4 linked regions of the Arabidopsis thaliana genome follow. The protein of the gene in region 4 interacts with the protein of the main gene of each other region in a pairwise test. Each region holds a gene or a part of one and is shown on either strand. Other genes may lie near its edges.

Region 1 (8,086 bases), on a different chromosome or scaffold from region 4:
GTATTTACCTTTTGTTAGTGGCTCCATGAACCTATTTTATACACATGCCTTAATAAGTTTCTATAAATGTACATCTATTATTTATTTTTGGATATATTGAGAGATATACCATCCCAAGAAGAATTCTTTGTTCCTCTCAGTCGCATCTATGTTGGCTTGAGTGCTATCATATGGAACAAACCATCTAGTAATCATCACAACTCCAATCTGTCCTCTTTGTTTTGGCTGTTGTGAGGAAGCATTGCATATATATATATAAAATTATCTAGAATCAGATGTCAGATTATATCTTTTTCAACCAGAGAACTCACCTTATATTTTTTCCGGTAAAGATGGACGACTTTGGCATGAGCAAGAAGCTGGTTATGTGCAACGATATAAGGTTCTTCCAGAATCTCCGGCGTAACAATCTTTATTAAGCCAATAAGAACATCGACCCGGTGCATCTGTTCCCATTGCATAACCTCTAGTAGGAACGGTATAGAGTTGGTTGATCGTGATCCACTTCTTAACCCTATCACCGAATATCTTGAAACATAGATTCGCGTAATCTTTGAAATCGTCTCTGCTCATATTATAGAATCATTTCGTTAATGCGAGATCAAATCTTTTATATGTTGTCATATTTATTAAGAAGTAGCATGGCATCGATAACATACATGATCTCATGGTTCAAGAAACCTTCATATTCATCTTGCAGAACTTGAGGAAGGTCCCAATGGAAGAGGGTAACAAAAGGAGTTATATTCTTTGCTAGGAGGCCATCTATGAGATCGTTATAGTACTTAACACCTGCTTGGTTTGATTCCCCTCTTCACCTTTCCTCCTGCTCATATAGATCGTAGATTTATTTTTACGACAAACAATATATATTCATATATACATGCATGGATTAATGTGTACATACTTGGAGCGATTCTTGACCAAGCAAGCGAGAATCTATAGCCGTCAACCCCGAGTTCGGTCATTACGTCTATATCTTTCTGTAGTAATACAAATAATCACATGTAAATTCCACACGTAGTTGATAAAAATTCAGTGACTAAATTCAGTAATTCCACACGTATTAACCTGCCAGTGCTCATATGATCCACAAGTGCTGTCTCCATTCCCTAAATCGGGTCCTCCTTTCTCTGGTAGCGTACAAAGACATTACTATGAATGTATAGAGAGATAACGTACCGACACTTCTCTCGTATAAATATGTAAGCCTTTATATATCAACCATGCAAACGACAAACCTGGATATCGGTGAGTGAAGCCATCCCAAACGTTAAGGCCACGGCCTTTTCCACCTTCTATCTGAAGTGAAACAAAACAACCATGCAACGTTGGAATTTAGTGTTAGTGAATTGTTTTTTACGTCAAAATTGGGAGAATATGTGATCTGTTGCATGCCTGGTAAGCAGAAGATGCAACACCGAAGATGAAGTCATCATCGAAATGTTTTCTGTTGAAACGATCAGTTTGGTTACATGTGAATGGCTTGGTCTCTTCGCACGTAATCTCTTCAGCTTTGCAAGTCTCCACTGCTAATAGAAGAACTAAGCCGAGTGCACGAAACTTCATGGTTAATCGGTACATGTATGTTTTCATTCAGCTGCATGGAAACCTAATGCGGTCTCAATTAAACTTTAAAAGAAGAAGTTTTTGTAGAAAATTTAATCTTTGCTTTGTATATTTGTTTTGGTGTCCTTAAATAGAAATTTTACATCAAGGAGCTAACGAAATGGAATCATGGATTCCTATAAAATTGGAAGTGAAAAGGTGATGTAAGAACACTTGTTAATTCTTCTATTATTGTCGACGAGAATTAAGCAAAAAAAAAAGAAAACCAAGAATTGACTAAGTCTAGTTATTTTGAATTTGGTATTCTTGACCCAATCATTCGTCATTGCAATATATTTGTGGTTTGTCCAATTTCGGACAGAGTTTCGTTGAAATCTCCATAGTCAGTGGGTCCAAATCGAGCACATAGTTAGTCTTCAAAGATATCCCACGTGATGACTGTATTCTCCTCAACCAAATTAGTGCTGCAAAATATAAGGCAGCAAAGACGTAGTGGCAAAACCAAAACAGTGACTGTACCACACACCCAAAGCTTAGTACATAGTAATAAGAGAGTGCATCTAACAATATATCATATTACAACACACCATCGACGACGAGAACCCAAAAATAAAATAAAAACAATACTTATACATTATATATATCTTTGGACTGCTACGACTAGAGATGTTTGTTTCACAATTCTTACCCTTCCTCTTGATCAACGAGCAACTATGAGCTCTTCAATGAAATCGCCTTCACCTGATTCAGATGGGATTAAGATATCATCATCGGCGGTGAAGTTGTAGCTCTCTCCAATGGCTCTTAGAAGCTGATAAACTTCAAACATGGTTGGCCTCTGCTTTGCTATTTCCGGTAGAACGCAGTTGCATGCTACTTTGAGTACTTTGAAGATTTCATCATCCACACCGTTCCCAAGTAAGGACCTGTCGATTGCTTCCTGCAGTTTTGATTCACTTGATAGCTTTGTAATCCATTCCACGAGGTTACCCTTGAAGTTTTCTTCCTCAGCTTTTTCTTCAGATACTTTTGTTACACTCGTTGCTTTTTGGCCCGTTACTAGCTCTAGAAGCACAACACCGAAGCTGTAGACATCTCCTTTTGGAGTTGCAACCATGGTTCTTGAATACTCGGGAGCAACATAACCGAAATCCCCAAATTCTCCATTGACGAATGTGCTTAAATGGGTATCAATTGGGTTCATCAGCCTAGCTAGACCGAAATCCGAGATCTTTGGCTCAAACTCTGCAGTCAACAATATGCATTTCGAGCTTATGTTGCGATGGATGATTCTCGGGTTGCAGCTATGATGAAGCCATGCCAATCCTTTTGCCGTCCCAATCGCGATTTTCAGCCTTGAAGGCCAATCCAAGGGCTTGAAGGATTCTTCATCTGCAGGATGTAACTGATCATAAAGGTAACCGTTTGCCATGTACTCATACATTAGAAGCCTCTCCTTATTGGCAACACAATAGCCCAAGAGAGGGACTAAGTTTCTGTTTTTAACAGAGCCCAAAGTCTTCATCTCTGCATCAAACTCTTTCTCAGAGCGTTGAGAATCCTGCAACCTCTTTATCATAAGTAGAGACCCGTCTTCAAGCCTACCTTTGTACATAGTTCCTGTTCTTCCTGTTGCAATGATATTATCTTTCTTGAATTCCTCTGTTGCCTTCATAAGATCGCTTAATTTCATCTTTGAAACCGATTTCTTAAACATGAAAACCTGAACATTCACAAAAGCACCAAACATATATCATAAATTTAGAACATAACCACATACAGCAAAATTCAAATCAATGATGTTTTTACCTTAACACCTTTCTGTCCTTTCAAGCTCTTTGCCCATCTGTTTCCTTCAGGATCATCCTGCTTCTTCCGAACAGCACCCAATTTACGGAAATAGAAGAACAAAACAACCCCAACGACTAATGCTGCTGCAGTCAGTCCACCAACTGCCGCTATAATAACAACTTTACCACGAGAGCTAGAAGCACTCTTACAGTCATCTAGAGGCTTACCACACAGATCCAGGTTATTAGCAAACAATTCCTGCTTAAACTGCAAGGTTTGGTTGAAATTTGGGATAGGACCAACGAGACGATTGTCAGACACAGAGAATGTTTTGAGCCGTCCAAGTTGCGCTAGCTGGGGAGGAAGAGTACCCGTGAACTGGTTATGCTGAAGCATAAGAGTGTTCAAAAAGGTAATGTTGGAGATCAACATAGGGATTTCACCAGAGAAGCTATTGTAGGAGAGGTCTAGAATCGTAACAAGTGGAATCAAGGTGCTAATGTTGGCTGGTAAAGGTCCAGAGAAGTTGTTTCTAGAAAGATCTAAACCAGTGAGATCAGCACATAGCTTAACCGCAGGAGGAAACACTCCTCTAAGACCATAACCAGATAGCTTAATACTCAAAACCCTATTCTCATCATCATGCCAACAAGTCACACCACTGAACTTGCAGATATAACCAGCAGTCTCGTTGCCAAAAACCCAAGTCGATAAATATCTATTTGGATCCTCTACTTGAGATTTAAAGGTCCTTAAGCAATCTATGTTGGCCTGATCCGCGTCAACCAAGCTCGAGAGTAGCAGCAAACAGAGACAATTATAGAGCCAGATTACAAAAACTAACCTACCCATCATCATAAATCCACTAAATTCCACAAAATGTGTAAAATCTCTATGAACTACAGCAACAAAATCAAGGGTTCTCTTCGATGAGCATCAAAATCCTGTAAGCAAATAAAAAAAAATCAAAACTTTATTAGCAACAACGAAAATTGGATTATCGCCAGCGAATCAAAAAGACTAAAGCGATCTTTAAAATTGAAGTTGACTTAGAAAAATTTACAACAACTTACGAATCAAAATCAGAAACACAAAACGAAAGCTTTGGTCTTTGTAGTCGTCGTTGTCGTGGTGGTGGTGCTCTTGTTCATAAGTGTTGAAGAGCACAATGAAGAAGGAGAAGAAAATCGCATCTGTGGCTAAGTGGTTATGAATGATGATGATGATGATGATGAAGAAAGGAGTTGGGAATAATTTAATAAAGGAGTCGTCTTTGTGAGTGAGTTGACTGGGACTTTGGATCGTCGTCGTCGTCTAGTGAAAGTTCGTGAAGAATGGGGCAAAGAAAAGAGAGACACTGATGATGAGAACGCAATGACTCCCAACAAAAACCAAATCGGTCTTTGCGCGTTAAATGTTTTTTTTTTCTTTCTTCTCTTTTTGACTTTTCAACATCATCATATATATTATCTTGTTTGTTAGGAGATGGACAAATTTTTCTTCCATTTGGTATTTTTCGCTTTTCATTCGTTTTTAGATAATTCTGGATATTTTGTAAATGGTTTTGGTGTTTTGACCAAATCAAAGAATGGAATATGACATTTACAAGAAATGTTTTCTTGGTATTAGTTTTTGACAAATACCAATGCATAATAATTTGTATCACAAAAATTGAATATCATGTCACATATTTAAATACTTATTAGGAGTAGTACTTATTTTGTTGTTGTTGGAATCTTTAAATTATGGGTTGACAGTTATATATATATATATATATATAAAAAGCTTGTTCATTTAGCAGATGTACCCGCCAACCACGGTTCAGCAAACACCCCAAAATGTTAATTCGTGTTGTTTATGTATTGTCAGTTTGTAACATAACGATTTTAGAAATTTTACAGAGTGTTTATATACAGAGACTCTAATACCATGTAGACTAAGAGTATATCGAATATATGAAACAAGATGATTACAGAGTGTTTATATACAAAGACTAGAAAGCTACTGAAGGAAACTTAATATTGTATACAATGATTATGAGCAATTAACGTGATTGACGATATTGATTCTCTTCATTATCTTGATTGATATGATTATCCTTGATAGTCAGTTTGTAACATAACGATTTTAGAGAGGAGATAAACCACGAATCACAACCTCTAGTCTCTCCCAAGCCAAATCCGCCATTCGTGACCTGAACCAACTTCGAAATTCATTTGATATTTGTAATGTTTTGTACCAAATCATTCACCATATATAATACAATTGTAGAATTCCAACAATTTGGGAAGTTGTAAGATTTATTTACTCTTGGTTTAGTCTTTCCTCTTTGACAAATACCAATGTATAACCAAACTATATTTTCATTGTTGCTCTTATTAAGAAAACAATCATATATAAATTTTGCATTCAAAAAAATTAGACACATAGTTTCATCCTTGGAGACAATTTATATGATCGAAACATCCGATGAAGAATATCAGTCTATGAAAGATTGTGCAATCTAGTTTTTTCCCCATTATAACATAGCCTTAAGCATGAAGCCAAAGCTTCGTCAACAGGTTAAAAAGATTGGGTGTTTGGTAAAAAAAGTTAAGGAATTTAAAGAGTGATTGATACACATAGATGGTGAATATACCAATTAATAGAAAAAAAGGAGGAAAGAGTAAATTACAAGTTCCCGGCAGTTTCAGACAAACTCACGTGACGCAAACTTTAAAGGGTTTGACTAGAGCCACATAAGCTGTCTGGTCCGAACCAGATATGATAGTGAAGAACGAGCCATTAAACCACACCAGTCTCTCTCACGTGCCAACTAAGTAAAATTGGGTGTGCTTAATAAAGTGTCTGTTATAAATCGCTTTGCTTCCTTTTATTTTGCCTCTCTTCTACTTTCCTCTTTCCTTTTTAGGGATTTCACTTTCCTCTTCTCTCTCTCTCTCTCTCTGCCTAACCTCGATTTCTCTCGATCGCTCTTCACCATGGATCTACGATCATGTGGTCCTTCTTGAAGTTTTTTGATCTCTTCTTCTTACGGGTTTTTACTTCGTTTGATTTTCCTGGTAAAGTTGCTTTTTTTTTATCTTCTCTTGAGGTATATACTTTTTTTTTGTTTTGAGTTCATGTTCGTGTTCTCTTCACTGTAGCTAGGGTTTGTTGATTTCTCCACAATATAGCTCAAAATTTCTGCTATGACCTTGAATTTTGGTCGTGAAGTTTGTTTATGTGATGGATTAAGCTGGGATTTCATAGAATCACTGAATCAGCTTGCTTGTTTCTACTCTCATTTCGTCATCTACTCTTCTCTTAATCTGTATTTGTATTATTTCAGCTAATTTTTTTATAAGTACGTCTGATTAGTTCTTGAGGTTGAATTATCTTTGTGACTAAAAAATAGTGTGAATTTTTCTTGAATGGATTCATTTTTTTGGGGGTTTCTTGTTCATTTGTCTTTACTTGCCTTGTAGGCCATTTTCTTACATAGTTGTCCACTATGACTTGTACGGTCTTGTTACAGAGCTAATTTGTTTTTATCTTTAACGAGTGATATTGTCATTGGATAGTTTTGACTGATCTTTGTTTATCTGTTCTTGATGATTTTTTTTTTTGTAGTTGTTTGTTGTTCAAGGATCGAGATTTCGTGGAGCTCTCTATTCGCAGCTTGGAGATTGGACTTGTTTGAATTGGTAACAATATTGTGTCTGGCCTCTAATGTCGTTGTACTCATGTTTGTTTTTATTTGTTCGGGACTTTTTAATCATTACTTAAATTTCCGTTTTATTTAGGCTCTTTTGTGATGGAGGATACTCGGTCAGTTGCTTCACTCATGGACTCTACATCATCCAAGATTCAGCAGCTTCAGAAGGCGTTTGCTGAACTTGAAAGTCAGCGTGCTGTAACACTTAATCTGAAGTGGAAGGAACTTGAGGAGCATTTTCATGGGCTTGAGAGGTCTTTGAAGAGAAGGTTTCATGAGCTTGAAGATCAAGAAAAAGAGTATGAAACCAAAACAAGGAAAGCTCAAGAACTGTTGGAGAAAAAGAAGGCAGCTGTTGAGGCTAAGGAGAAGGCGGCGCTTGAAAGGCTTCAGAAGAAGAGAGACGCAGCTATGTTTACTATAAACAGTGCTTTGGATAAGTATAACAACGCTCCTGTCAGTAAACCTTCTGTTGGTGAACGTTGGCCACAAAATGCTGTAGAGGATTCATCCAATGTCTTTGCTGCTGATAGTATTACCGATGATAATCCGGATGGTATTGTGCAAGATGTTCAGATCTCACCTGTGATGGGAAATTATGAGGTGAAGGCTTATCCACAGTTACTGAAACTGTGCGGGGATATGGACTCAACGGGTCTCCATAAGTTTGTATCAGATAACCGCAAGAACCTTGCATCACTAAAGGAGGAGATTCCTATGGCGTTCAGGGCTGCAGCAAACCCAGCCAGCTTAGTGTTGGACTCTTTGGAAGGGTTTTACCCTATGGAGGCACCAACTGCTGATGGAAAAAAAGACGCTAACCTCTTGGGCATGCGCAGAACCTGTATCATGTTGATGGAGTGCCTTAGCATACTGTTATCTGGTCTGGACCGCAACTGCCTTGCTGTTGTTCTCTCACAAAATGTTAAGCATAGAGCCAAAACTATTGCAGAAGGATGGAATCCACTGCTGGAATCTCTTGACATGGATGCTTGCAATGGTAATTCTTTGGAGGCTCATGCATTCCTG
Region 2 (9,345 bases), 7.2 Mb from region 4:
CCTGACGCTGCATCAACAGCTATGTTTAGTCTATCAACCCAGCTAATGATGGAGCTACCTGCATGTATTAGCATAGACATGAATGTCACATATCAACACGATGCATTTCTGTCATGATATATGCATGAGAATATACATGTGTTACCTGAAAAATGTTTTTTCAAATCGCCATTGACCATGTACTGGTAGATGAGGGCCAGATGATCTTTTTCATCACAGTATCCAACAAGACTTACCAGATTTGTGTGGTAAACCCTTAGAAGAAGTTCTACCTATCCAAATATGTACAATATATAATATACGTCAACTTAGCCTTACAAAAATGTATAAAAATTCATAAGGGTGCCAAAGAAACCTCTGTTTTGAACTCTTTATAGCCTTGAGCTGATGATGGAGAGAGTAGCTTGACCGCTACTTCTTCAGTACCATTTATATAACCATGATAGACCATTCCAAATCCTCCTTTACCCAAAACCCTTTCAAATTTCTTTGTCATGGCAAGAACTTCGGCATATGTATATCTTTTCTTTATTGTTTCTATTGATTGTTGGCTTGGTGATGGACCTAGAACCATACACAAATAATTAGAAATCACTTTATAATTATGTATGCATACAATAATATTTCTGGTTTGATGAATTTGATACAGATACCTTTTCTGCTTGATGAGCGTCTTTTAATACAAACAAAAAGCAGAGCGATCATTGCTATTATAGCAGCCAAAGAAGCAAGTGATGCAACAACTGGTAACATGATGCTATTTTTCTTTTTGTTGCATGAACTGGAAAAACATAGGTTTGGATTTCCCTGAATGCTAGTATTGTAAACAAGCTAATCAAGTGTTAGTGAAGACATACTGCAAATTAAGATATCATATTTCAATGACCATCAACTATTGAAGACTAAATATAGTTGAGAAGATCTTACTTCAACTTCAACCCATTTTTCACTTTGTTGAGAAGAGCTTGAGGGACTGATCCACTAAGGTTGTTTCCGCTTAAGTTTCTGCCTAGGTAAAAAATAAACATCAACAGACTCGGATAATAAATTGGCAATGTGATTCATATGAGTGACCAAGTAACTTACATGACTAACAATGATTTCATTTTGGCTAGAAATTCAGGTACTCCACCTGTTAGATTATTATTTGAAAAGTCCCTATCATATGCAAAAATGAATTAATTGATTATATGTTTGGCCTTGATAAACAGAGTATTCAAGTAAAACAGAGTATTCAGGTAAAACAGAGTATGTGTTTGACCTTGATAAAAAATTGGCAATGTGTTCATACTTACAATTTTTTAAGCTCCGTAAGATTTTGGATCTCAGGAACTATAATTCCAGTTAGTTCACTTGAGGACAAGTCTCTGGTGGTAATTAAAGATCATAACACACATTTAAAGTGTAAGATGTTACGAAATGCAGAGCTTAACAAAAAACTGTTTTAATGTTACGAATAGCCATGGACGTACAAGGAATGGATTCTTGGTGGTGTAGACATATTGGTGTACTCGCAGGTAAGACCATCCCACAATAATTGTTGAGGAACACATGGATCTCCTTGCCAACTAATTCTACTTAATCCATAGCTTGTTTCTATGCTCTTGATAGCAAGGACTAACACACAATAACAGAATGAAAACACTTAAGTATATACAAAAAAGTATATATATACTCAGATTTTGCTGACATACCGTCATTTGCATTAGTTTCAGACTGCGGAAACTCCACTGTTATAAAAGCCTCAATAGCATTGAGGAGGGGAGGGAGAGTTGATTTTGGAGTTTTTATTAGTTGCAAATGGCATGTCCCTCCTTCACATTTAACTGGTGATGTATTGAATAGAGTACCCACTAGAAACTCGTCAGGACTAACAGGTCCATAGTTAACATCTTGGCCTGCGCTAATGTTGAATTCCCTGGTATCATTTTCCCTTAAGGATTGGATCTCAGCGACGTGGAGGTATGCATAAACTAAGTCGTCAGGTGTTTCCAAATTCCAAGAAATGGTTAATGGTGAACTCACATTTGCAGGTGTGGCTGCCGTAACCACTACGTCTTCCGGTATGTCATAGCCGTTATCATCAGAAGTGTTGACCGTGAGACTTGTTCTTAACAGTCTCCATTCCGGCATGAAAAATGGACTCCAAAGACGATCATGGACATCTTCTGGATACCTGAAGAGAAAGGATGGAAAGTATTACCGAACAGTGTATCCAGTGGAAACCAATCTATTCATTACCAATTGGTTTTGAGTTGGCTTACCGAACAGTTTCTTTGGAATCAGTCAAATGGACGCGGAACAATGTCTTGAGGGAACCAGATTGAGGAATATAAGTATTATTTCTCAATGGTCGTAGTTCTAAAGCTGATATTAGCGGCGTAGTTGTTCCCGTCTTAACAAGACAAATCTGCAAAGAAGTTGACCTTGGTATGTGAATGATTTCCGCCCTTGTTCCGTTTACATTTCTTTGCAAATCGACCGTGGTCCATATATTTGGACCAAGATAAAGGTCGAACTTTGGGTGTGTGTTAAGATTATCGTAGTTTCCATAAGTAAACATGGCTACGATCAGATAGTTTGTGCCTTGTATGACGATAAGAGTATAACAGTTTCGTACTCCATCTGGAAAATATCTCAAAACCGTGTATGGCTTTATATACTCCATCCCCGGAACATTTTGAATCTTGCCGCTTTTTCCACTTTTGATGAAATCGGCGTCTGATGTGAATGTTAACTTTGTTAATGGTTCGGTATAAGGAGACTCATCGGCTTGCAACCCGCAATCCAAACTGATGAATCCTGATAAAGGCAAAAGAAAAAAAACAGAGAAATAATTTGGTAAAAAAATAAGTTTGGAAACTGAATTAATGACTAAATTGTGATAGGAAACATGTTTAGTCAAAGTTAAAAGAAGAAAACCTGAAACAAAAAAAGTTATACCTTGTTGATCTTGTGCTCGAAGAAAATCGGAAATGCCTAAAGACAAAACTAGGAAGGCCAATAGAAGTCCACGGAGGTTTTTCATTTTCCCACCTCTGTCCAAAAAAAAAAAAGGATTACGAATTGCCAATGTACTTGCAATATAAAACATGCCAAATCAAACCTTTGGATATAAAAAACGGATGAATTGTTAAATAATTATTTATTAACTTATATTTCTGCTTGGGGCGGATCATAACGGGAAATATGTCAACGTTCACATACCAATAACAATAAGCCACCTATTGAGTTGGACCGATCTTCTAACCAAATTCGAAATAATTTGTCTAATAATTTGATTATGGTAAGACTTTTCTCAAGTGGAATTATAAAATCTGACAAGTGTGTGTCATGTTTAAATTTTATAAAAAAGGTTTGCAAGTGGAAATTAGTAGAACTGATTGATTCTAATTGGTTATCATCAAGCACACCTATAGTAGATTAACCTGAGAAAATGAGTTATTACCGTGTGTGTGAAGGGATGTCATATTCATATATGGCAAAGTCACCGATCGTGTCAGAATCAAACCACGAATATAAGCAAAAGTGAACAAATGAATCGAGATTTTTAAAATATAGAGAGTATATAACCTGGTTGCATATTTTTCATTTCAAAAATTTTATAATCAACCACTAACGTCTTGATTTATTTTATATGGATATTATACCAGTGGTTAGCTGTTATTATTCGTTAGATAAAACCATGGCAAAAGTTTAAGTTTTTAAAACAAAATTTATACGTAGACGTCACCATGATTAATTCCATTTGCAGCTTATAACACTAAAAATTTGTCCATTTCAAAACTTTGGTAGTAGTAAGTTTTGTTAGTTGTGAACGAAGAAATCATCAAAAATGGACACTTGCACCAGGCTTCTGTTTGCTGCGTGTGCCACTTTATCCATCTTACATCTTGTTCAATCTCAGAATCAACAAGGTCTTTTTATCATCTGTTTTTCTTTTTTACAATAATTTTGGAAATAAACCATTCTAAATTTTTTTTTGAGATAGAACTTTATATAAGAAAAACAATATGTACCTCTCCCTTTTCGGTCTTACCAGGATTCATCAGTTTGGATTGTGGATTAGCTTCTAACGAGTCTCCTTACAACGAAGCAAATAGCAATCTGACGTACATATCCGATGCTGATTTCATTCAAGGAGGAAAAACTGGTAATGTCCAAAAAGACTTGCTTATGAAACTCAGGAAGCCATATACGGTTTTGAGATACTTTCCGGATGGAATCCGAAATTGTTACAGTCTAAATGTCAAGCAAGACACAAATTATCTAATCAGGGTTATGTTTCGATATGGAAACTATGACGGGCTTAACAATTCTCCAAGATTCGACCTCTATCTTGGTCCTAATATTTGGACAACCATAGATATGGGGAAGTCAGGTGATGGAGTTCTGGAGGAGATCATTCACATCACAAGGTCTAACATCTTGGACATATGTCTCGTCAAGACAGGGACGAGTACACCAATGATATCATCCATAGAGTTGAGACCCTTGCTATATGATACTTATATTGCTCAAACCGGTTCCTTGAGGAATTATAACCGGTTCTATTTCACCGATTCAAACAACTATATACGGTACCTTATTTTCACCTTATGCTTTATAAATAACCAAAGTAGATTATGAGCAGAAACTTTAATCTCCACAAAAACTTTAATATTATTGTCATTTAAGCCATCTAGCGTAAACCAAGATTATACAGTATTAATTATTGTTATTAGTTGATGTAAAGTAAAATATATAACTTGATTTTGGCAGTTATCCCCAAGATGTGCATGATAGAATTTGGGTGCCGTTGATATTACCAGAATGGACGCATATAAACACAAGTCACCACGTTATTGATTCTATAGATGGCTATGACCCACCACAAGATGTACTTAGGACCGGCGCCATGCCCGCTAATGCCAGTGATCCAATGACCATTACCTGGAATTTGAAGACGGCTACTGACCAGGTTTACGGTTATATTTACATCGCCGAGATCATGGAAGTCCAGGCCAATGAAACTAGAGAATTCGAAGTTGTGGTAAATAATAAAGTTCATTTCGATCCTTTCCGTCCTACCAGATTTGAAGCACAAGTTATGTTCAACAATGTACCACTGACATGCGAGGGAGGATTTTGTCGTCTGCAACTTATAAAAACTCCGAAATCGACTCTTCCACCCTTGATGAATGCTTTCGAAATTTTCACGGGCATTGAGTTTCCTCAATCAGAAACAAATCAAAATGATGGTATGTTGCCTTTGAACAAATATGCATATAGCTTTTTACACGTATTATTTCTTGCTAATTTGCACCATGTTTCAGTCATTGCTGTAAAGAATATTCAAGCTAGTTATGGACTGAACAGAATCAGCTGGCAGGGCGATCCATGTGTCCCTAAACAGTTTTTGTGGACTGGCTTAAGCTGCAACGTAATTGATGTGTCCACACCACCAAGAATCGTGAAATTGTGAGAGCATTTATTCTAACTCAATGTTGTTAGCAAATCTTAAGCCCTGAAATGTATCTGATGTGATATGTCTTGGATCTTCCAAACAGAGATTTGTCTTCAAGTGGATTAAATGGAGTTATACCACCTAGCATACAAAATCTAACTCAACTTCAAGAACTGTACGTATCTCTATAACAAAATGAAGATGTATTCAAAACACTTGTTAACAATTTTTTGTTGCAACAGGGACCTGTCCCAAAACAACTTGACTGGTAAAGTGCCTGAATTTCTAGCCAAGATGAAATATTTGTTGGTCATGTAAGTGTTGTTGAAAGCAAAATAAGCCATTTTTATCATAATGTTTTACATTTACTAACTAGATGATCTACTGATTTGTCTATATATTCACAGAAACTTAAGTGGAAACAAACTTAGCGGTTTGGTTCCTCAAGCCCTTCTTGATAGAAAAAAGGAAGGATTAAAGCTATTGTAAGATTTCTTTTTGAGATGATCTTTATTGATTTACTACGTGCCCACTCTCGTTTCTGAAATTCACTACGTTCTTTATTCTTTAGGGTTGACGAAAATATGATTTGTGTGTCTTGCGGTACAAGATTCCCAACAGCTGCGGTTGCGGCATCTGTTTCTGCAGTGGCCATTATCATACTTGTGTTAGTTCTCATATTTGTTTTAAGAAGGAGAAAGCCATCTGCTGGGAAAGGTACTTAAAGGAGAATAACATATAGAAGAATATAATCCCATATTGTATAGCTCTCATGGAATTCTGTTAAATTTTTCTATGCAGTTACACGCTCATCCTTCAAATCGGAAAATAGAAGATTTACTTACTCTGACGTTAACAAAATGACAAATAACTTTCAAGTTGTTATTGGTAAAGGAGGGTTCGGTGTTGTCTATCAAGGTTGTTTAAATAATGAACAAGCAGCTATTAAAGTGCTTTCTCATTCATCAGCTCAGGGCTATAAAGAATTCAAAACAGAGGTATTCTTATTAAATCTTTTACTAAAGTTTTGGAAAAAGAGGTTAATGTTTGAGATCAGGAATCAATTGGTTACACTTTTTTCTTTATGTCGTCCTTGATTGTTAGGTCGAACTACTTTTAAGAGTTCACCATGAAAAGTTAGTAAGCCTCATTGGATATTGTGATGATGATAATGGCTTAGCTCTCATCTACGAGTTAATGGGAAAGGGAAACTTAAAAGAGCATCTCTCAGGTAAAACACATGAAAATTTGATACAACAATTTATAGGTTCTCTTTCAAACAAACTTCTTAAGCCACTTGGTTGTTATTGCAGGAAAACCTGGTTGTTCTGTTTTGAGCTGGCCGATAAGACTTAAAATAGCTCTTGAATCCGCCATAGGTGTGTAGAAATATTATTATATATAGTTTAAGCTGATATATATAAATTCTCTCTTAAACTCCATATTTATGATAATTAGTTAACATACGAGGTTTAACATATGGTAGGAATTGAGTATTTGCATACTGGATGCAAGCCAAAAATCGTTCATAGAGATGTCAAAAGTACTAATATATTGTTGAGTGAAGAATTTGAGGCCAAAATTGCTGATTTCGGACTCTCAAGATCCTTCCTAATAGGAAATGAAGCTCAACCTACGGTTGTTGCTGGAACATTTGGATATCTTGATCCGGAGTAAGTAGTGGAGGATTTATATCACATTGTACATTTAAACATGCATGTCTTCGATCGATTTTCTTGCTTTCTGAAAAAAAAAGTGAACCATATCTTTAAAATCTTTTGTTATAGGTACCACAAAACCAGCTTGTTAAGCATGAAGAGTGATGTATATAGCTTTGGGGTTGTCTTACTGGAAATCATCAGCGGCCAAGATGTGATTGATTTATCCCGTGAAAATTGTAACATAGTGGAATGGACCAGTTTTATACTCGAAAATGGTGATATTGAAAGTATAGTGGATCCAAACCTCCATCAAGATTATGACACAAGTTCTGCATGGAAAGTTGTTGAATTGGCAATGTCATGTGTGAACCGTACTTCCAAAGAGAGACCAAACATGTCTCAGGTCGTTCATGTGCTAAACGAATGTTTGGAAACATGTGAAAAGTGGAGAAAAAGCCAAGAGGTGGACTTAAGCAGTCCTCTGGAACTGAGCATAGTTGTAGACACCGAAATAAACCCAAAGGCACGTTAGTCATTATTCTCATGGTTGGGTGTATAATGATCAGTCTGTATAATTTGTATTATGAAGCGTCTATTGCACAATTTGGGTGTTAAGTCTGTATGTTGAACGTGTTGATACTTAATAGCTTCTTCTTGTGCTATCGAAAGTTGAAAGTACTCTTTTAATTATACAAGAAGAATATCCACTCATACAGATATTTGTGATTTTATTCGGTTTAAAGAATCTGTTTATGCGGTTCGGTTTTTTCGGTGGGCTTGGAAATTCACTGGGTTTTTATTTTGTGGGCCGAAAGTGTAGGCTGTGGTGTAGAAATGTTATTTTTTGGGCTGTAGGAACTTTGTAAGCCCAAGAAGAAATCCTAATTTCATCTTCTTGAAACACGTGTTCTTTGTCCTTCGCGATTTCGATGCTACCGACAGAGAAGAAGAAGAAGAAGACGAGCTTCACTTCGGTATTTACTCTCAGATCCATCGTTCCGTTCAAAGTTTCCAGCATTTAGAAGGACTATTCAATTCGGATTCTCGGCAGGTTGGGAAAGAACTGAAGAACCGTTCGGTTCAGTGATGCCAAAGTATATTTGAAGCATTGCCGATCGGTTGATAGCTGCAAACCGAATTGATCGATCGGTTAGGTTAATTAGGTTTAGGTTAAAGTATTTTGCATCAGAAAATAGATAGGGTTCTCAATGAAAACAAATTTGTTATTATAAAATAAAATAGAAGAAGAAAAACTGAAAAAGACAAAATAAAATAAACAGGAGAATGACATGGCTTGGACTGAAAGGAAAAAAAAAACATTACATGGCATGTGTGACTCAACGTTATTGTCGAAGTTTGTGTGTTGTAAAAAAAGCCGGACGATCCGACAGAGACAACACGTGGCCGAATCAGGGGGAAGTACGTGAGACAGTGGTGGTGACCCAAGAAGGGAGAAGAAGAACAGGTCTTCAGGGTGGGGTTTACTGGTTATAGCCGGTTATTCGCTCTTCTTCTTTTTTCAGACACGTCCTCTGTGTTACTACTCTCGTATAAGACCAGGGGTTTAAGCCCTTGTCTCCTTCCGTGCTTTTTTCCCACATTAAGGGGTTTTTCGATTTCCCACAACAAAAAATAAATAATAAGACAGAAACTTTTTTGCTTTGTGTGGGTTGATGAGAAAATAAGATCATAAACATTCTGATCTCACCTTGTTTCAGAAGAAAAGGTGAGATTATTTTTGAAGTTTTTTTGGATCTGCAATTTGAATTGCGGTTTTTTATGTTTATAGTTTTCTAGCTTGAGGGTTTTTTGATGTTGTAATTTGGTTTCTCACAGAAGCTGAACCGTGTTTGTTTTTCATGAAAATATTACAAGACCAGAATTGTTCATTATTTTTCTTGGTAAATTCATGCTCTGTTTTCACTCTACGGTCATTAATCAAATGAGGCTTTAGATCGTGGAAATTTCAATAACTTGGATTCTAGCTAGGGTTTTACAAAAAATGATGTCTGAAATTGGAAATAATCTGCTATCACATATACAGTATGTGAGATTTTCTTGCAACGTAAGAAATTTTATAGATAAATGCTAATACATTGTTGGACTCAGTAACCTAATTGTTTTTCTCCAGGGATCTTGTAATCCGTGAGAATGCCTTCGTTTTGTTGAATGATTGAAATGTTCTTCAAATCATGGTGTTGCAAAAGAGGCCCGATTATGGATTCAATGGCTATGAGG
Region 3 (7,447 bases), on a different chromosome or scaffold from region 4:
CGGTTCTGGAATCAACTTCTTTTCATCAACCCTACAAAACCAATGAGATAGCTTTTGCAAACAAAGAACTTCTACTGGATTCGCCCATACTACCTTTCATAGTTATTATAGTTTTCCTATACTAGAAGTGTATCCTACAATTATAGCTGATAAAAGCATCTATCGATCGGTTTAGGTATAAAGCATAAGAATGGAGAACTAAACGTGTTTACTCACTGTGTAGAAGGATAATAAGAGTATAATACCTGTGGGGAGTTATCAACAATGATAACACGAGATAAATCACGCCCGAGGACTGACAAATCCTTGAGGTAGTTACCATCAAAGAAAACACACGAGTCACGGTACACTCTATGGCGAAAGAGCTTTCTCTTAGGGTCAAGCACGTTCAGAAGTTGCTCAGCATAAATACTTTGGCTAGCTGTAAATATAATGATCTCAAAAAGTCGGGACACTCTCTCCATAAACTCTTTGAGGTGAGGACGGCATCGCACATACACCATATGCTCTTCTTCATTAAAATTCACTGGGAATGTGAAATCTACCTCACCACACGGCTCTAGAGTCGAGTGCACAAGAGTTTCTGCAAAATAAAACATATATGTTATAGTAGCCTTAAAACCTGGTGAGAAAAAACTAAGATTTGTGTGCCATTAAAACCTGCAAAGAGAGATACAATTTTAAACAAACGAATCAACTGAAAAGTAGCCTTACCATCAAGGTCTAGGACAAGAGAAATAGGAGGACAGCTTCGGGTTTGTTTAGGAAGCAAGACCGGCCTGAAAGTTGGGACAACAGAAGACAGGTTCGGCAAGTTCTTGATAAACAGATAAGGATCAAACTCATCGAGCTCCTCATCCTCTTCATCCTCCATGCATACCGAAGTAATAAGGGAATCTTGACCACGCTCGTCAACACATTCCAGCTTAGAGCTCTTCATCGCTAGATAAATGGCAGAAACCGAATCCAAGTTACAATTTGGATCTACGGTACTTGTATCTAGAGCAAGCAATCGATCATAAGGGTTCTGTGCATCCAAATCCCGAGAAGAAGGAGAGTCATCATCTTCCATTAAAACCCTATTAACATCAACTTGTAACTGAATTAGACAACAGAACTCAGAGCCTAATGCAACTACTCCACAATTTCAATATCTGACCATTATTCACATTCATACCCAAACACTACTATAAATCTACAAGTACAAGGTTCAATGATAAAGTTTTCAAATTTACCTTGTAGAAACTCTCTTCACTCCTGTAGCTACCGACAAAGCAGAGACACCGGAGATAGATCAGTTCCCGAGAGCCGTCAAATTACAAACAACTAGCTCATACACTATCTGAGAACGAAAACAGATCTTGGATTAGAAAAGGAGCAAAGCCCTAGATACAATTCACAAAGAAGGAACCAAAACAAAAAAGTACCCAGATTTAAAATATTTGAAAGATAAAAACTTTGGAGCCAAAAGAAGCAAAATTCGAAAACTTTTCATCGCGGAAAGTGACAGAAATCAATATTTTAAGAAAGAGAACCGAACCGGAACTGAAACCCACGAAATCGATTTCAGATAATTTTCAATTTTGATATATATATCTAGGGCTTTTAATACGAAAAAAGGGGGGAAAAAAGACATGTGGAAAAATCAAAGCTTTTTACTGGGATAAACGATGGATAAATCTAATCTTTCCGCTTTCTCCGCAAATTTCTCTGCAAATTTCAAAATTTCTTCAACGAAGCGCACACCTAGATTAAACTTCAGTAGCCCAGAAATTCGAGCTGAGATTGAAGAGCTAAGAAGAAGAAACGGAGAGGGAGAGAGAGAAAAAAGAAAACCCTAGAGAGAGTATATTCGTCGGAAAAAAGTACCTCCGATCAAAAACGATTTCTTCTAGCTTCCGTCTTCTTCTCTCTCTCTCTTCGAAATAAAAGAGTAAAATATTTGCTCGAAATGAATGACAGACGACTATAGTCTACATAAGCAATGAAATATTTCATTTAAATGCCCTCATACTTTATTAATATTTCATTAGTAACCTCGATAGTTTTTGATTTGTTAAACTAAACCCCAAACATTCGAAGAGTATTAGGCCGGTAAATGATGACGTCATCTCCGGTTGGAGGATAGTACAACGATGCCGTAGAGAACTAGAGAAGTGTCTTTTTCTTAAAAAGGAACCTTCTGTTTTTTACAAATTGAACATGCATGTTATGGATTATTGGAATAAAAAAAACGTTTTGAAGACTTTTGAATATTTTCTTTGAAAAATGAAATTATACAAGATTATGTGACTTGATTAGATTTGATGTTACAAGTTAAGTTGGTTTAGAATAATCTTTGTTTAGTACTACTATATATAGGATGATCTATTTTTCATTGGTTATAGCTAGAATGCTATATAGAATTGTGGAATGTTGTTTCATGTCATGATTATGCAGATTTATTACCAAACACATAAAAGATTAAGAGGTATGACATGAATGACGTGTTCTGCTGATTATGTTTACGACGAAATCCAAATAAAAGACAATTTGATCCAACACAAACTGAAAAACACTCAACCTGCCAATATTATTCAAAGAAATGAACAACATCAAACTTGTATTCAAGCATGGCACAATGGATGATTCAGAGAGGACATGATGGCTTAAAACAACATTGATATATTTACGTTCCCAATTTGAGCTTTAGAATATATGTTTGTAATTTGAGAATACATATGATTGTTTCATCTTCTTCCCCATCTTTCTCTTATACTCTTTCGTTTTCTTGAATACTTTGTAGCATAAAGAGCATTTAGACTCTTAGTTCATTCTCTTTTGAACTTTGTCTCATGTTAATCCCATTTTTGTTTTTGTTTCATACATGGCTATCTATGTGGGTTACTTCTAAGAACTACAACAACACATCAAGGATATATAATTTAGCAATTTTCTTAGTTAACTTTTCCTTCTCCTAGAAACACTAACCAGGAAACAGTTAACTAAAACCACTCCCGCCAAGTTTTGAAACGTTGTACATATATATAGGAGTGAAAATATTACTTTCAGAAACATGGGGTGGGATATATATAAGATATAAAAATGTAAGGGGTTACTTTACAAATAAAATAGAATAGAAACAAAACGTAGACGTTTAGAGCGGTCCTCGTCAACTACGACAACATTAGAGATCGATCGTCGTCGTCGTACCCGTCAGACTCAAGGAAAAAGAAAAAAAGAGATTCCGCCGCACGTTGTTCTAATCGAAAAAAGCGACTCTCAATAAATCTGTCTTCCCTTTTCTTTCTTAAACTGGAAGAAGATTAATCAATCAGACACAACAGAGATAACTGATTTATCCACTTCAAACAATACAAACCTTTAAAGTCTTCACCTTTATAGAGAGAACTTTTAATGGTGTGGTTGACGAATCAACAGATAGGGAGATGGAAAAGGAAACGAATTTTGGTTGTGGGATCGTTCCTCTGTTGGTCAATCATCATGTTCATCACTCCCAAAGTTCCTCTCGATTCATTTCGCCATCATATCTTCGCCGATAAACGCAATTTCATGGGTATCATCATCATATCACACTCTCTCTTCTTTTTTTTTTATCTCTCTCTGTCTCTGTGCATGTGTAATAACGAGAGACAGGTGTTTTGTGTGGGTTTGATGATGAACAGGAGTGCCTAATACATTGAATGTGATGACCAACTTTCCCTTTCTTATCGTTGGAGTTCTTGGTTTTGTTCTTTGCATTGGAGGAAGCTTCTTCAACATAAGGTATCATTCTCTTTCCCTTTTTTGAGTTTTATTTTGAGTTAGTTTAACAATTTGAGTTGTTGTAATGCAGTTTAAATGGTGAGATCTGGGGATGGACACTGTTCTACGCAGGCATTGCAAGCTTGGCTTTTGGTTCTGCTTTTTATCATCTCAAACCTGATGACAACAGAATCGTCTGGGACACTTTGCCTGTTCGTTTTTCTCACTTTACTTTTCTTCGGAACATGAATCTTCTTTCAGTTATGCATTCATTGCTTCTTGATTAGTGATGCGGTAATTGTATATATTGACAAGCACATTGTGAATACAAAAAGTTGAAGAATCATCTTATAGCTATGTAAAAAAGCTTAGATTAGACTTCATGGTTTTTCTTGGATTGGTTGGTTCTACAAGCACATAGTGAAGTGAACACAACTCTTATAGCTAATGGAAAGAAGCTTTAGAGATTTTTCGGGTGTAGAGTTGTGGTTTTTGGTTTTATTGAATGGAAAGTTGTTTTTGCTCATCATTTTTGATGGTTGGTTTATGAATAGCTGTTTGTTGATTAATGACGGTAAATTGCAGATATTGATTGCGTATTCGTCGCTTTTCTCTAGTTTTTTGGTTGAGAGAGCGGGGGAGAAAGTGGGACTTAGTTGCCTCATCTTGCTTCTATTTATATCATGTCTCAGTGTTGCTTACGCCAGGTAACATTAAAACCAAGAAAGCATTACCTCCTCTGTATACATATATGTTCATGGTTTTAGTCAGGTTTCGGATTGAAATTATATGTGTCTTAGTTGATGGCAGAGTGTTTAATGATCTCCGGTTATGCATGACGTTCCAGTTGATACCGTGTCTGGTGATTCCCGTCATGGCGGTTTTGTTACCTCCCAAATATACACACTCTAGATTCTGGCTCTGGGCAACAGGTTTTTAACTCAAAACCACATTTGCGGTTTTCTTATTAGAATCCACGGTCTTCTGATATCTGCTTATCATGAATGCAGCGGCGTACACTATTGCCAAGATTGAAGGACTTGCAGACAACAAAATATACAATGCAAATCGATATATCATCAGTGGGCATTCACTGGAGCATTTGTGTTCTGCCGTGGCTACGCTTTTACTTACCATTATGCTTTTGTATAGAAGCATTCGGTTTAATAGGTAACGTTTTTTCACTGACTCTTTCTCTTTGATCTTTGAGTTCCTTGAAACCTGAGAGGATTTTTCACTTTTCTTTTGTATGATGGAAACTAAAACAGATTAGGTGATCTCAAAGGCCGTCCTTGACATTCATTACTGACTCCTCAAGTTTTTTTTCTCTTGTATTTAGATGCTTCTGGATTCTTGTATTACAAATTTTGTTTGGTTGCTAGATAGATTTTGACCCATGATCCCACTAAAACATCGTTAGCTTGGTGTAATCTTGGTTTCTGGTTCTGAAACAGCTTTGGCTTTAAGGTTACTTATTCAAGTCTTATATATGTGTTTGGACAATGGACAATTTTACATGTAGTAACTAAAAAGAAACCAAAAGAATAATCATAACTCACAAATACACCTTTTATTTTCGGTCTTGACTTGTGACCTGTTTCTTATTCATATGATCACTTTATTGAGGACTTTAAATCATAGCACAGAATGTGGAAAAATCCAAGACAGCAATAGCATTATAGAAACGTAATCATACAATTCATCTAAAATAGCAACAATGATGAGTAAATCTCGGAGTTCATAGTCCTTCAAAGAAACGTAAATGGTCATCGAATGTCTCAGCATGCCTGATCTTAGTGATCGACCCATCTTCTTCAACCTGCAAAAAGAAGAATATAAATCAATCACTTTCTCTCAGGATCTTGACCCTCCGCTAAATTTCCGCAGAAAACGATAATAAGAAACAGTATTGTTACCCAGTATTCCGGGGGACGCATCTTGAGATTGTAAGTGGAAGCCATACTCATACAGTATGCACCAGCGTCATGAACCACCAGACCAGCTCCCTGTAACGTATACAAGAAACTAATTAGATTCCATATTACTTGAGCTGCCAAACATAATCAGATCCTTATAATACCTGTGGAGGAGTGGGAAGCTCTCTGTCTTTGCCCAAGAAATCAGCAGATTCACAAACAGGACCCACTACATCGAATTTGGTAACCTCTGCTTCAGGCGGTGTAGGAGAGACCAACTCAATATGCTTTTGCGTTAAAAAACAAAAACAAGAGGATGTTTAGCTATAGTTCAAAGGGACTAGAATCTGCAGATGCTGTTGTGAAAAGTATATTTGTTTTACCTGATAGGCATCATAAAGACTGGGACGGATAAGCTCAGCCATACTTCCATCAATCACTATGAAGTTTTTAGTTCCATTCGTCTTCACACCAGTTACATGGTTGACGAAACAACATGTGTTTGCAATCAGTGATCTCCCTGGCTCGATTATTAGATTCAGGTCTCGTGAAAGAACCAGCTCTCTTACCTATGAAACACATCCAGGATTCTAAAGATTCTACCATTCCAGTACTTTTGAGATCAAGATAAAGAAAAGAGTTTTGAGCTGTTGTTCTTACGGTGTTGATAAGATCCATGGGTGTAGGAAGGACAGCGCCGGCATGATAATAATCTATCCCTAAACCACCACCAATGTTCAAGTAGCTAACCTCAAAGCCTTGACGCCGGATTTCATCAATGTATTCAATCATGAGAACCGCAGCATCTCTGAATATATCCACCTGAAATAAACAGAACATACGTGAATATGCAAAGCTCAAGACTCAAGAGTTAAAATTTAAGAGATTGATTACATTAAAACACAAATTAAAAGGAACTATAGTCGGAGTTACCTTTGTAATGGTAGAACCAAGATGACAATGAGCTCCAACAAGCTTCAGCTCTTTGGGATGTGCCTTCACTTCATCCAGAAACCATTGAAGCTTCTCGTTCCTAATACCAAACTTCGAGTTCTTGTTCCCAGTAGCTACATATGGATGCACCTAAAATGGTAACAAACAGAAAAAGCTCATTCATATCCAAGCTAAAGAATAGATTCTAGGACATGCTGCTAAAAGATTGAAAATTTAACCATACCTGAGGATCAACATCAGGATTGATACGCAACAACACATTGACCTGCTTACCAGAAATTCTTGAAGCTTCCACAATGTTATTCAAGTCAAACTCACTATCAACATTTACGAAAACACCTTCTTGAGCAGCTAGAACTAAATCTTCCAAAGACTTTCCATTTCCATTGAAAATACACCTATTCATTTCATCCACACCGAAGACATGGTCAAAAACTACACATCAACATGAGACCAAATAAAAAAATATTCAAACTTTATTATTGGGGATAAAGAATCGTACTTTGTGGGATCGAAACCAGCAAGAAGAGCAAGCCTGAGCTCATTTCCACTAACCAACACAGCACCACAGCCCAAACTCCTCAAATGCTCCAAAATCTTGAGATTGTTATTAGCTTTAATAGCGTAACCAATAACAGATCTCACTCCTTCCAAAGCCTCTTTATAAGCCTCAAGGTTTCTCGTGATCTGAGGTTTGCTATATAAGTAAAAGGGTCGTTTCTCGACTGTTTCCATGATATCTTGAACCTTGGTTCCTTCGCAATAGAGAAACCCATCTGATGATTTCTTGAAACAGTGGTCGAAAGAGGAAGCAGATTCTTTCGTGAGGGTTT
Region 4 (6,755 bases):
AACTCTTCTCACTCAAGCCTCTATTCCAACTTCATATTGGACATATGCGTTTGGAACTGCGGTTTACCTCATAAATCGCTTGCCCAGTTCTGTGCTCAATAATGAATCGCCGTATTCGAAGCTCTTCAAGACTTCACCAAATTACCTCAAATTAAGAGTTTTTGGATGTTCGTGCTTCCCATGGCTCCGCCCATATACCAATCACAAATTGGAAAGAAGGTCACAGCCGTGTGTATTTCTCGGGTATTCCTTAACCCAAAGTGCATATTTATGCCTTGATAGAAGCTCTGGTCGTGTCTACACTTCAAGACATGTCCAGTTTGTTGAGGATCAATTTCCTTTTTCCATCTCCGATACCCATTCAGTTTCTAATTCAAGCCCAGAAGAAGCTTCCCCTTCATGTCACCAACCCCCATCTCGCATTCCGATTCAGTCATCATCTCCGCCACTCGTACAAGCTCCGTCGTCGCTGCCGCCCCTAAGCTCAGATTCTCACCGCCGGCCAAATGCTGAAACTTCATCGTCTTCGTCCTCGACGAATAATGATGTTGTGGTATCGAAAGATAACACACAAGTGGATAACAGGAATAATTTCATAGGCCCAACAAGCAGTTCTTCAGCCCAAAGCCAAAATAATTCTAATCCAAGCTCATCCATCCAAACCCAAAATGAGCCCAATCCGAGCCCGTCACCAACACCTCAAAATTCTAGCCCAGAATCTTCACCATCGTCTTCTACCTCCGCCACGTCCACAGTCCCAAATCCACCACCACCACCTCCGACAAACAACCACCCAATGCGAACCCGAGCTAAAAATCATATAACCAAGCCCAAAACGAAACTCTCCCTCCTAGCAAAAACAGTTCAAACCCGACCTCAAATACCAAACACGGTGAACCAGGCTTTACGAGATGAAAAATGGAGGAACGCTATGGGAGAAGAAATCAATGCCCAAATACGGAATAATACATTTGAATTGGTTCCACCAAAACCAAATCAAAATGTTATTTCCACAAAGTGGATTTTTACACTAAAATATCTTCCTAATGGTACTCTTGACAGGTATAAAGCAAGATTGGTGGCTCGAGGTTTTCGGCAGCAATATGGACTCCATTACTCTGAAACTTTCAGTCCTGTGGTTAAATCTCTCACAATTCGCCTAGTTCTACAATTGGCAGTGTCTCGCTCATGGACAATTAAACAACTAGACGTAAACAACGCTTTTCTTCAAGGTACATTGACGGATGAGGTGTACGTCACACAACCACCTGGTTTTATCGACCCCGATCGACCACACCACGTTTGTCGCCTTAAGAAGGCGCTTTATGGCCTGAAACAGGCTCCACGCGCTTGGTACCAAGAGTTGAGAAATTTTGTTTGCTCGTTGGGATTCACCAATTCTCTCGCTGATACATCAGTGTTTGTTTACATCAACGACATCCAAATCGTCTACTGCTTGGTCTATGTTGATGACATTATTGTCACGGGAAGTAGTGATGCGTTGGTAATGGCTTTCATCACCGCTCTTTCTCGGCGATTCTCGTTGAAGGACCCGACGGATTTGGTATATTTTCTTGGTATAGAGGCAACAAGAACCTCACAAGGTCTTCATTTGATGCAGCATAAATATGTTTATGACTTGTTGTCTAGGATGAAGATGTTAGATGCCAAACCGGTGTCCACACCAATGGCGACACATCCTAAACTTTCACTCTACTCTGGCATTGCTCTAGACGAACCCGGAGAATACAGGACAGTGATCGGCAGCTTGCAATACTTGGCGTTTACACGACCGGATATTGCGTATGCTGTGAATCGATTATCACAATTTATGCATCGTCCCACAGACATTCATTGGCAGGCTGCAAAACGCGTCCTTCGATATCTTGCGGGAACTGCTACTCATGGTATATTACTTCGCTCAAACTCTCCTCTCTCGCTTCATGCATTCTCCGATGCTGATTGGGCTGGGGACAATGACGATTTTGTTTCCACCAATGCATATATTGTGTATCTTGGCTCTACACCCATAGCTTGGAGCTCGAAGAAACAAAAGGGAGTCGCACGTTCTTCCACCGAGGCCGAGTACAGGGCTGTTGCAAACACAACTTCAGAAATTAGATGGGTATGCTCTCTTCTTACTGAGTTAGGCATCACATTACCAAAGATGCCTGTGATATATTGTGACAATGTTGGTGCCACATATCTCTCTGCAAATCCGGTTTTCCATTCAAGAATGAAGCATCTAGCATTGGACTATCATTTTATTCGCGACAATGTGAGTGCCGGTGCACTACGAGTCTCTCACATATCAACACATGACCAACTTGCCGATGCTCTAACCAAGCCATTGCCTCGTCAACACTTTCTTCAGTTTTCAAGCAAGATTGGAGTGAGCAAACTCCCTCCATCTTGAGGGGGCATGTAGAGTATATAAGTAAAGGATAGTTTAGTAAATCATTAATCCCTAATTCATTCTAATGTAGTCCCTATATATATTGTAATTATATCATCTAATGAATTATTCAGCCTTCAATACTATAGTTTGATCATGTGCTTACTTTCCCTTCATTTGCGATACTTCAAGGTTCTTGCTGCCACTGTTTCTTTGAATGCGTCACATGTTTGAACATGTGTGTTCTTTTTGGATCGAAGCTTAGCTCTTTAGATGGAACTGAATAAGTAAAAGAGGTCACTGGATAAGCTCTGTTACTAGAATAATAGGAGGGCTTCTGCTTCACATTTGTAATCCTCTCTCTTTCTCTGAATTGATGTTGCAATTGCTTGTCATCAGTATCTGTATTTCCATAGATAACTGAACTCATTAAAGGGCAACCGAAGCTGCTTCGTGGTTTATGTTTCTTCTTTGTGGGCTATTTTGCTTTGCACTTTCACTTGTTTCTTAGTTTTGGTTTGATTTTTCATACTGGGCCCTGAGCAAAACAATTTTAGTTATATGACTTGTGAAACTTAAATGGGTTTTAATCGAATGGTAACTTCATCTAATTTGTTTGAATAATTCATCATGGACCTTAATGATAATATCTTGAGTCTACTAATCATTTCACAAATCCTTTCATTTTCCAACAGCAAGTAGCCTGATTTTTGAACCTCAGCGATAGACAGCTTAAAGTGCGGTCATTCTCGCAAAAAGCTATCAGTCTTTATTTGATTCACGAACATTATACACGAAAGTCAAAATTAAATAACCAAAAAAATTAAACAAAAAGCAAACAAGAAAACGACTTCTCTGGTATGATTGGAACAAATTTAATAGAGAGAGAGGTTAGATAAGAATGTGGTAGAAGATAAGACCCAACTACGCGTCATAACTGGGTCCCATCTTTGTCTCTTTCCCTTCTTCACTCGCCAACCCCATCGCGTGTCCCCACGCTCCTTCCCTTTACTTTTTCTCGTTATCCAAAACACGACGATTCTTCATTTTAGATTTTTTTCATTAATAAAAAAAAAAAAGTCTTTTATTGCAGAAATTTCGATCGTTTTTGTTGTGTGTACAGAGAGATTATCGTGTTTTGTTGGCAATCGCCATTAAACCTTCTTCCCTCTAACCCAATCAAATTTGCGGCTCTTTCTTTTATCTTCTCGCCTCGGTTTTAGCAAACCCTTTAGTTATCTTCTTCCTCAAGCAATTTTTCTTTTGGATTAGATTGGTGTTTTCTTTTGGTTTGTGTGGTGATGATGAGAAGGCAACGAGATGAACAACAATCTAGGGTTTTCTACGATCTATCATCTCTTGTTTTGAATCTTCTCCGTTCTCCTCCTATGCCGATTTCTTTACCTGATCATTTCCCCGATCCGCCCGCTAGAATTCGTCCTCCCTTTTCTTCGCATCGTTTTTCGTCTTCTTCGCCTTCTTTGGCTCATATTTCTCCGTCTGGATTCGCGTCGTTGCTGCTTGGTATATCTGTGGCTCTTATGCTATGTGGATCTGTGACTTTCTTCATCGGGTTTCTCTTGATGCCTTGGGTTCTTGCTCTGATTTTGGTTTTCTATGTCGCTGGCATCGTTTCTGCCATTTCTATGGTCGGGAGGTCGATTCTCTGTTACGTCTTGACGCCACCTTCTCCTTCCGGAAAGGAGATTTCTGGTAATTTTGTTGAATTTTAGGGTTAAGTTTGTCAAATTGGTTTCAATGATTCAAGCTTTCTACTTTCGTCTCGGATCTGTTTAGATTTTAACCAAAGTTTCCTTATTGATCATCTAGAAATGATTCCACTGGGTTTTGGTTCTGTCCTTATTTTGATAGAAATGGAGGTTCGAATTAGGGTTTTATTGAAAAGCACACCGATGTTTGTTCTGTCTTTGACTGAAACGATATTGTTCTTTTGTTTCCTCGTGGATCATATTATTCATGTTCACATTACTTTTGTTGTCTGAAATTAAACCTATGTTTGTATTAGTTTCATGTTCTTGCAATAATGTTTGTGTTTGACATGTCTATTCGCAGAATGGAAGCTTCTGTGAAATGATTAAACAACAGAGGTGAAGAATCTATACATCATCCGGAAGCAGAGCAGAGCGAAGCAGAACAAAAAAAAGAAGAAGAAGGATTGATTATATAAACACATATATCCGATAGAGTTTTTCTATGTTCTTTATCTGTATTTTGTTGGGGGGGTTTGGGAAAATCATGTGGATATCAGGGAGTTTTATATTTCTTTACATTTCGAAAAAAGAATTTTTCTATTTAACTACTGTTAGAAATAGAGAAGCCTTGTTATTTGTGCTTTCATGTATGTCGTTTTTATGTAACATGATCATTTCTTAAAGCATACAAAAAGATTTTAGGATTTCTGTTGCACTTCTTTCGATTTCCTTGCATTTTCGAAACACTCTGTGTTGATATCTCTTCCTTTAAATCTTCTTACAATATTTGCTCATTCTTGATCTCTTTTATGGTTTTAAATAATTGTCTCTTCAAGTTCACACGGAATCTAGTGTGAATCGAGGTTTAGTCGTGCAGAGTTGTGTGTGTTATTACATGTTTTATTATTGTTTAAGTATATTTATTTAGTGGAGGACTATACGCTATTTGCACATCTCAATGTCAAATTGCTCAAAAATGGTAGAGGTGCCGTGCCGTCAATAGATGTCACGTGTCCTGACTTGCCTTCTCAATACAAACAAAAATACTCTCTACCTAAAAAAACACAATAAACAACAAACGCATCTTTGGAGCGGCGGTGAGATTAGAGAAGAAGGGTTTGTGAAATGGAGTCCAGTGAGGATGTGGAGAATCTGAGTAGAGCTATTGAGAAGCTTCTTCATGAGAAGAGGAAGAGAGAAGCTTCTGGTGACGCCTTCATTGAAGACGCTGATGATCAGCTTTTCCTCTCTAGCCTTATCTCTCAGGTACTTTACCATCGCTCTGTTTTCTCCTTTGTTGATTTATCTGATGTTGCAGCCAATCAACTTTCTGGGTATATGATTGAATCATGAGTATTTGAGTGAGTCTGTGTAATTGTTTCGCTGTGATGTGTCTGCTTCGATTTTGATGAGATCCAACAAATACAAGCTTATCTTCATGATTGTGTTTAGTTGCTGTTTCATGTCCACAACATTATTTGTATTGGGATGTGTCCATTTCAGGCTTGTGCTAATTTTTTTGCCAATAACTTAGTTGGAATCACCAAACCCCAAGGGGAAAGAAGATGTCATAACCGGAGAAGAAGAAGAAAAAGAAGAAGAATCTGCAGATTCTTCACCATCCAAAGGAAAAAGCGAGGGCCAGAGACAATTGGAAGAAAGTATAGAAGAAATAGCTAAAGACATCAAGAAGGTGAAGAAGCAGAACAAAATAACCCATGTACTTCTCTCGGCTACGATCATCCTGACATTGGTTTGGCAGCTCTCTGAGTACTCCATGATTTTCATGTTGAAAGATAGAATAAGCCACCCAGTCAGATCCATCGGAGGTATGCTTAATGGAATGTTCAAAGGTAAGTTACGTCCAATCAAGAACCAACTTGCGGGGACTTCCAACTCCAATGACCAAAACAACCATGGGAATGGATCACACACTGGACCTCAACTTCAAGTGCCCGAGCTGTTGCGAGAATTCGGTTTCGACGATGAAGAATGATAGCTTCCCTTTGTGACTCAATAATACCAGTTGTTATTTAGGAACAGGGGTCACCCTCATTGTTTCTTTGCTTTTAGTATAAGTAGTTTACTTTTATATGATCAAAATGCGAAAGAATAGTTGCTTTCTCAAACTTTTCCACATGAAAAAGGGTTCCAAAAGAGAACCGTATTTCAAAAAATCTTTTGTTTTACCCTTACTGAATCATGGTTCAGTGCCCGAAAACAAAAGGAGTCATCTCAAACAAAGTAACAAATAGCTCCATTGATTAAAATAAAAACAGACAGCAAACCACCTGAAACAAAGCTTAATGTTCCAAATCTAAAACCAACTCAAACAGTTTTTGAATAGTCCCAAACTTTCCACCACTCTCTTTTCAGCTTCCAATAATGGTTCCATGTACCTCTGGCATCAAATTCCTCAGGCATAGTTCAACCTGAATATGTCATTGAACACGTAGTAGTTTCCCTGATTCGATATCAAATGGAACATCTGGACACAAAACACAAGTATGTCAGGAATCAGGCAAAATCCAAACAACAAGCAGTCATCAGATTTATGTTACAATCATATAGTGATCCAGTGCGTGATTCACAACACAAGAGATGCATACGTAGCTCATTACAAGTAGGTCAAGTTGACAGAAATTCAT

The links.
Region 1: the proteins of AT1G27290 (region 4) and BIR1 interact in a protein complementation assay, tested with the Arabidopsis thaliana proteins (one large-scale study listed by BioGRID).
Region 2: the proteins of AT1G27290 (region 4) and AT1G07550 interact in a protein complementation assay, tested with the Arabidopsis thaliana proteins (one large-scale study listed by BioGRID).
Region 3: the proteins of AT1G27290 (region 4) and AT5G11870 interact in a protein complementation assay, tested with the Arabidopsis thaliana proteins (one large-scale study listed by BioGRID).

The regions. Positions count from the first base shown.
Region 1 is NC_003076.8:19,602,315-19,610,400, forward strand, and holds BIR1 (BAK1-interacting receptor-like kinase 1), read right to left. Parts: upstream 4,834-8,086; 5' UTR 4,434-4,833; intron 4,305-4,433; 5' UTR 4,219-4,304; coding exon 3,379-4,218; intron 3,293-3,378; coding exon 2,270-3,292; 3' UTR 1,775-2,269; downstream 1-1,774. Other genes in the region: TGG3 (thioglucoside glucosidase 3), read right to left, coding at 1-31, 110-225, 312-385, 438-565, 660-810, 908-983, 1,072-1,133, 1,242-1,298 and 1 more; AT5G48385 (FRIGIDA-like protein), read left to right, coding at 7,157-8,086.
Region 2 is NC_003070.9:2,321,003-2,330,347, reverse strand, and holds AT1G07550 (Leucine-rich repeat protein kinase family protein), read left to right. Parts: upstream 1-3,777; 5' UTR 3,778-3,835; coding exon 3,836-3,917; intron 3,918-4,042; coding exon 4,043-4,580; intron 4,581-4,761; coding exon 4,762-5,240; intron 5,241-5,315; coding exon 5,316-5,460; intron 5,461-5,549; coding exon 5,550-5,621; intron 5,622-5,688; coding exon 5,689-5,760; intron 5,761-5,853; coding exon 5,854-5,931; intron 5,932-6,017; coding exon 6,018-6,163; intron 6,164-6,247; coding exon 6,248-6,444; intron 6,445-6,550; coding exon 6,551-6,677; intron 6,678-6,759; coding exon 6,760-6,825; intron 6,826-6,932; coding exon 6,933-7,119; intron 7,120-7,233; coding exon 7,234-7,639; 3' UTR 7,640-7,805; downstream 7,806-9,345. Other genes in the region: AT1G07560 (Leucine-rich repeat protein kinase family protein), read right to left, coding at 2-58, 146-272, 356-564, 654-814, 928-1,005, 1,087-1,158, 1,296-1,367, 1,473-1,617 and 3 more; TRFL2 (TRF-like 2), read left to right, coding at 9,300-9,345.
Region 3 is NC_003076.8:3,822,324-3,829,770, forward strand, and holds AT5G11870 (Alkaline phytoceramidase (aPHC)), read left to right. Parts: upstream 1-3,096; 5' UTR 3,097-3,396; coding exon 3,397-3,556; intron 3,557-3,665; coding exon 3,666-3,765; intron 3,766-3,835; coding exon 3,836-3,956; intron 3,957-4,329; coding exon 4,330-4,451; intron 4,452-4,554; coding exon 4,555-4,676; intron 4,677-4,754; coding exon 4,755-4,914; coding exon of another isoform or gene 4,915-4,918; exon of another isoform or gene 4,919-5,012; coding exon 5,013-5,040; 3' UTR 5,041-5,250; downstream 5,251-7,447. Other genes in the region: SSP5 (SCP1-like small phosphatase 5), read right to left, coding at 246-583, 715-1,072; AT5G11880 (Pyridoxal-dependent decarboxylase family protein), read right to left, coding at 5,483-5,563, 5,661-5,750, 5,825-5,947, 6,044-6,229, 6,321-6,482, 6,594-6,743, 6,838-7,012, 7,117-7,447.
Region 4 is NC_003070.9:9,478,092-9,484,846, forward strand, and holds AT1G27290 (uncharacterized protein), read left to right. Parts: upstream 1-3,313; 5' UTR 3,314-3,696; coding exon 3,697-4,108; intron 4,109-4,468; coding exon 4,469-4,485; 3' UTR 4,486-4,901; downstream 4,902-6,755. Other genes in the region: AT1G27300 (uncharacterized protein), read left to right, coding at 5,233-5,373, 5,642-6,103; NTF2A (nuclear transport factor 2A), read right to left, coding at 6,524-6,595.